Xenopus tropicalis: one gene and its partner. The protein of the gene in region 1 interacts with the protein of each later gene in a biochemical or structural test. Links are inferred from orthologs where the notes say so. Each region holds a gene or a part of one and is shown in the gene's direction. Other genes may lie near its edges.

Region 1 (3,149 bases):
GAATCCTAATTAGGAATTAACCCCGCACACGGCAAAACCCCCCTAAAATGTAACCCTTTCTGAATGTTAATTAGCATATGTTAATTTATGCTAATTAACATCAGGTTCGGCCGGGGCTATTGATTCAGCCGAAACCGAATCCATCAAAAGCTGGATTCGGCCCAAATCCCGAACCAAATCCAGGATTCTGTGCATCCCTATTCGGCAACAGTTTTTAAATTGCCAAAAATATCCGCCCTACGCCACATCTGCCATCAGCCTGAACGAACAGTTTTTATTTGCCATCACTATGGATTTAATTTAGTTATGAAGTATAAAGTGTTGTTTTATTACAGAGAAAAAGCTTATACATTCAAAATAGAGAGTGGTTTGGGAACTATAGAAAATGTCAGTCCTGTTTTTCAGAGCTTTCTGGCTTACTGGTTTCTAGACAATAGAACCATAGCTGTATTTAGAATGAAAAGCCAGGTTGGTTAGCATTGTGTACAGTATTGGTTCCTACTAACTTATTTTTAAACATTTAACAATACCTCATACTGTTTTGTAGGCACATATAACAGTAGTAGGGAAGTAGTGCCCTTGCCTAATTAGAAATGTTTCCAGTATGTAAGCCATGAATGGTGCAAAACATGAATATTGCAGGAAGCAGTTTTCTTGCTTTATTAGGAAAGCACTACTTCTCTCCCAGCAGTACAAGTATCAGCACGCTTATAATTTAACCATTTTATCAAATATAGGTCCGATCGGACTTCTTTGACTTGTTATCCAGCCTTCATTTAGACGGACAGTCTCGATGGAGCAAAATCAAGGACAAGATAGAGAATGATCTCCGTTACAAAGCAGTGGAAAGTTCAGCGGCAAGAGAAGAGCTCTTTAAACTGTATATAGAAAAGATTGTAAAGGTATGTTAGGTTATCATGTAAATAGCTGTTCATCCCATTTTTAACAAAATAATCCTTCATAAATGTTTTTTCCTATTTATTACAGCCAGTATGTATGCCATTTTATGTGGACATTAAAACAGCATGGTTTTATATTTATTCACCTGGGTTTTGAGGTTTGTTGAGACTCAGCCTTGTCAGGTTGTACCTGACAGAATTGACAAGTTGTGCCTGATGGTCTTATTTAATCCTTTAATACCAGTCTGGATTTTTGGACTTTTTCATGAAAATAAGTATCTTCCATTTTATTCTAAATACCAGAATTTAGATACAGAAAAGGAGAAAGAGCTGGAAAGACAAGCTCGCATTGAGGCAAGTTTACGTGAAAGAGAGCGGGAAGTGCAGAAAGCTCGCTCAGAGCAAACCAAGGAAATTGACAGAGAACGAGAACAGCACAAGCGAGAAGAAGCAATCCAGAATTTTAAAGCCCTTTTGTCGGATATGGTAATGGCTTGTTAGTTATTTGATCACTCTGCACTGATTGGTGGGTGCATTTCATGGGAATTCATTTTTGGCATTTGATTGTTTTTTAGGTGCGGTCATCTGATGTTTCATGGTCTGATACAAGAAGGACATTGAGGAAAGACCACAGATGGGAATCTGGTTCCTTGCTGGAAAGGGAAGAGAAGGAGAAACTTTTTAGTGAACACATTGAGGCGCTTACTAAAAAGAAACGAGAACAGTTTAGACAGCTGTTGGATGAAACATGTGCTGTAAGTCGTACTGATAAAATGTGTGCATTATTTTCCTGTATCAGGGAAACAGATCCCACAGAACTGTGGCTGTTGCAGATCCTTAGATTTTTTTTTCTTGCTGCAAGCTAAGGATCATAAAATTGCAGTGTGTCTTAGTTCTTCTGTAGTTTTACTGATTTGTTGTGTTTACCCGAGTCCTAGCATGGCAGTTTAAGGGCCACTGTCATCCCTTTCCAGATCCTTCCGTTGACAGAGTATTGCTTCCCCCCATCCAAAAAGTGTGATACCTTACTATGTGTAGACTTCATGTGCCCTGTTTCTACGACATGCCCATCTGCAGAAATCTCTTAATACTATACAGTATGTTATTGTGGTTTCTAAGTGAAATAAATATACGGCAGTATATAACTAATACACCTGAGGGTGTTATTAAACTGATTATTTACTGTGTGTAAAATGATGTGTTTTAGATTACTTTAACATCCACTTGGAAAGAGGTTAAGAAGATTATAAAGGATGATCCACGCTGCATTAAATTTTCTTCAAGTGACCGGGTAAGGGTTCCCTCTCTAACTTTCATTTCTTTCTTGCATTATGTTTTTCCCCAGTTTGTTTGGCTTCCATTTATTTCGTTTTTTTTTTATTATAAACAATAGCAGGGTTATCTTTTATTCAGTGTGCTTAACATTCCTCATCTGGTTATTCCCCTTTACAAAACAGTGTAAGGGATATGTTTATTTGCTTACCTACCTAGAAGTATTACTTATTCCAATTATTCCAATTAGAAACAAACGTTGGACTGAGTAAACATTTTTTTATTTTCACTTGATCTTGTGTACAAATTCCTGCAAGTGCTGTCACTACCTGTGAAAATGTCTATTACAGTACTGCACTGGCACCCAGGTATTATCTTGTGCTGATGTTGTGCTGCTTACCGGCTGTTTACCCCCAAATCCACCGTAAGGGATTTGGCTGAATCCTGAAATTAATCCTAATTAGCATATGCTAATTAGGATTTGGAAGGGTTAAAACATCTTTCACTTCCGTGTTAACATGACAAAAAGTCATGTGATTTTTTTGGATTTGTTTCGGCCAGGACCATGGATTTGGCCAAATACTGAACCGAATCCTGGATATGCAAGATTACACGTAGGGAGGACAAGTAGTATAATAAATACAATAAATAATAATAAATAATACTCCGATAAAATGCCATAGGTGTGGTATGAGACACAGTAGAAGGGAGGTCCCTGCCCCGTAGAGCTTACAATCTAAGTGATTGGGTAACATACAGGCACAATTGGAAGGCAAGAGTGCACAAGCTATGGGAATTTGCTCTTAAGCACAGGACTAGACAAAATGTTTTAGTGCTCCATAAGTTAAAATCTGTGTTTTTCCCTATGGAAGAATTCATGGATAGAGTTCCAAAAGTAAGTGGCAGTGAGTTAGAAAGGTTTGAGACCAGAGAGCAGTGGGTGTGGATGGTAAAAAAAAAACAGGCTCAACCAGGAGA
Region 2 (3,830 bases), on another chromosome or scaffold:
AAGTCGCCCACGAAAAATCTCCCCGATATGACATCCAACCGGCAAAAATATAAATCGCCGGTGGGATGGCATACGTGGCGGCACGGTCTACACAGATTTTTTTGTGAATTACCAGTTTAGCCCCCCTCAGTTGATATTAGGCATGTGAGATGGTGGTGTATAGGAAGTGAAGGTTAGAAATACATTCCCTGTCCTTTTTTGGGGGGGGGGGGGGGGTCCATTTTTTTTTTCTGCTGAATTTTACAAGTTTATTACCTCCATATACTAGAGAGAAAGTGCTGGTCAAATGTATTGCACAGTCAAGCTTGTGATTTGTGGAATAATTTTCTGCAACATTCCTCTGGTATCTTTAGAAAGGGACAAGGAAAATCGTCATCGAAAACGTAGTCACAGCCGTTCTAGAAGCCGAGACCGGAAGCGCCGCAGCCGTAGCAGAGACAGGCGAGGTAGAGAGCAGCGAAGTGGATCCAGGGATCGAAGGCGACGCAGGTAAAACTTGTAGATGTCTCTTAAACTATTGTGTAAATATGCTAACCCTTGCATGACTTAAATCTTCCCTTTTTTTTTTTTTTTTTGTCCAGTCGCTCACCAAGACATGAGAAGAAAAAGAAGATCCGTAAATACTGGGATGTTCCACCTCCTGGTTTTGAGCATATCACCCCTATGCAGTATAAAGCCATGCAAGGTAATTTGTTTTTAACATTTAGTTAATACTCATCTTTTTACTTTAGCTTTTGAAAGCTTTAAGGGTCATAATACAGCGTTGCTATTTAAATGAGTAACTAATATTTTTTTGTTTGAAAGGTATGTTTTATTACTGCAAAATAAAAGCTCTTTGCTTAACAAGGATTCTGTGCATTTATTTTGGAGCCTTCTGGATAATCTTGCATGTAATATATTTGAAATGTGAATTCTGATTGAATGTACAGTTTTTGTGCTTATCGCAGTATCTGCTTTATCATTTGTGTTATGTCTGTGTTTGGAAGTTAAAAGGAAACTGATTATCAGGGGCAGCTTCTTCTACACAATTATTGATGTAGCCTAAGTGCCATTGTGTTGGAAAAATGAATGTTAGACCATGAAGAGATACCCCTAGAGTACAAAAAGGGAATAGCATCAAAGGAGAAAGTTGTAAGTCCGCCCCTTGCATTAGGCCATACTCTTAAACAGGCAGTGAAATTTTGGGCTCCGGTTCACAAGTTACATTGTGAAACTACACTGAGCACAGAGAAGAGGTGAATATAAAAGGTAAGTGCAATATTTTGCTTTACAGAAAAGCTGTCCAGCTTGGATTCATTTTTATTGCACAAGGGGTTCTTCACATAGACTTCCCTTGTGGGGTAAAACAGCATATCATTCGACGGGAGTAAAAGGAGGACAATATCAGCTGTTTTGCTTCCCCTTTATAATTTTCTAACTTGAGTTTCCCAGCCAAAAGTTTTACACCACATTACCTATACGTTCAAAAGCAGAAAATATGAATTTACAGTGAGTACTAAACCTTCACATATTTGTAAGCTTGAGTATGGTATTGTCTGTCTTGTTTAGATATATTTTTTCTGGTTTTAAATTAACTGTACAATTGACTGTCACATGTCACTATTAATTTGTACACTTGCAGACCATTTATATTTCGCGTAACTTTTTTATCTTTTCCTCAGCTGCGGGTCAGATTCCAGCTACTGCTCTCCTTCCAACAATGACACCAGATGGCTTGGCAGTTACTCCTACTCCTGTGCCTGTTGTGGGTAGTCAGATGACAAGACAGGCCCGTCGACTCTATGTTGGAAATATTCCATTTGGAATCACTGAGGTATTTGCTATAGCCATTCTATTTCCTAGCTATAGTAAAGTATTGAGGTTGAGAAATGGCAGCACCAAAACATTTTTCAGCATTTCTTCAACATTTTATTTACCACTTAATGAAGGTATTCTTTGCCCCTTAGGTTAATAAGTATTTCATAGCTTGAAACATTCTCTTATCTCAGTTTCTTTTGTTATTGGTCTCAAGCTATCCGTATTGGTGGCACTAACAATTTTCCTGCATACAGCTCTTAAGCAGGGACCTGAATTTTGGGCTCTCAGACAAGTGCTCAGTAAGTCCCTGACAGGCGAGGATTTCAAATATACAGTCTGTAAATTTTTTAAATATGATTTGTTTGAATATTCGTTGTTCTGAATAGTTGTAGTTGGGCTTTTACTCAGTGCCCTATCATGGGTAAATATACATTGCCGTAGGTTGTTTCTGCAAGAGAACTGTGCCATCTCAGATACCCTTTTTTTTTTTTTTTTTTTTTTGTCCATCCTGGTACCAGCATTGATAGCTACCTTTGAATTATTACATAAGCAATCCATTGCTTTCTCTTTATACTACCACCCTTATTTTCATTTAAGCTGTATGAGTTTGGTTAAGTCACTCTTTATTTAGGGCCATTGTTAAACAGGCGTTATGTCATTGGAGTACTAGGTATAGATAGGTAGTGCAAAATAAAAAATGTTTCTGATAGCCAAAAATGTAATCAATAAAGGCTGGAGTTGGGAGGATGTTGAACATATCCGAAAACTACTTCCTCCTTGGCAGCTCTCTAACCTCTTAGTGACTTGGAGGGGCACATAAGACAACTGTTCAGTTACTTTGCTTTTGATCCTTAGCAATCTAAAGGAACAGTTATATCCCATATTCCCCCAAGTTACTGATTACAAACTTGTAACAGATAAGAGAACTGCAAAGGAGGAAGTTAGTGTTCTGGCAATTATGTAGACTTTATTTTTGACTATATTGAAAAGTTTTATTTTGCACAGCCTATCTATTTCCCCAGTTTAATTTTTACTGTAAACCGTTTAAAACCCTTCCTACATTTGGTCTTTTGGTTTCTGATCTTTAAGGGATATCAATGGTAAAAATCCTCCAGCCACCACATCCCTAATCCTGCAAAATCCTGAATGAAGTCCTTATTGCTTAATGTATTTCAATTGTTTGCCAGAAAGCCCACATACAAATAAGCATTATTTGGTGTAAAGTGTGTAAATGATGTGGCCAGTTAAATGCATATCCTTGTGTATCATTTGCTTAGTCAGTGGGCAAACCTTATTTATCTCTTCTCAGGCAGTAATACAATATTTGTCCTTAGCAGTTGGGGACTTACTGAGAAACATGTTTGAGACCCAGTGTCTGAGGCAATTGTAACATTAATACATTTTAAATAAAAATGGACCGTTACAAAGCAGTTACATTGAGTTCTGTTAAATAGTATTCTTAATCTAGTTGACACAGGTAAGGTATTTGGCAGCTGCTTTAAGCACGCTATAATGGCTTTATAACTGGTCTTTCGGTGTTATGGAGAAAAACTTACAGGTGGGTTTTTTCAAAACTTGGTGTCCCTTCTCCATGGTGTTTAAATGATTTGTTTCACATTTGATCATGTGACACATTGCTAAACCCTACATTTCTAATCTATAAAATGGGTATCGCATTTTTGCTTTTTTTTTTTTTTTTTATTCGGAACTGGTACTATGGCCCTGCACTCTAATGGAGTTTGTCTCAAACTTTTTTCCAAATTTTCCAGCAGTTAGCATGGTTTTTGCAGAAATGGCTGCTTTTGTTGAATTACAACAATAAACAACTTTGATTTAAAAGAAACCTTTTCTATTTGAAAAACAAGATCAAAGAGTTGTTTCCATTTCTTTTTAAAGTGAAAATTGTGGGGCTGAAATCCCTTCGTAGCAAAATAAGTTTGCTACCATCGTGCAAGGCAAGTAGGACATTCTAGATCTTAAACATGCTCTTTGTTGCTATTAACAGGGATATCAGACCACTTATATTTCTCTCC

The links.
Region 2: the proteins of tcerg1 (region 1) and u2af2 form a complex in vitro, tested with the Homo sapiens proteins (2 studies listed by BioGRID). The link is inferred for Xenopus tropicalis from reciprocal best matches to the Homo sapiens genes TCERG1 and U2AF2.

The regions. Positions count from the first base shown.
Region 1 is NC_030679.2:39,889,460-39,892,608, forward strand, and holds part of tcerg1 (transcription elongation regulator 1), read left to right. Parts: intron 1-737; coding exon 738-902; intron 903-1,202; coding exon 1,203-1,385; intron 1,386-1,474; coding exon 1,475-1,654; intron 1,655-2,106; coding exon 2,107-2,190; intron 2,191-3,149. UniProt on the Homo sapiens protein: Transcription factor that binds RNA polymerase II and inhibits the elongation of transcripts from target promoters. Regulates transcription elongation in a TATA box-dependent manner.
Region 2 is NC_030683.2:104,045,782-104,049,611, forward strand, and holds part of u2af2 (splicing factor U2AF 65 kDa subunit), read left to right. Parts: intron 1-353; coding exon 354-489; intron 490-581; coding exon 582-685; intron 686-1,661; coding exon 1,662-1,813; intron 1,814-3,830. UniProt on the Homo sapiens protein: Plays a role in pre-mRNA splicing and 3'-end processing. By recruiting PRPF19 and the PRP19C/Prp19 complex/NTC/Nineteen complex to the RNA polymerase II C-terminal domain (CTD), and thereby pre-mRNA, may couple transcription to splicing.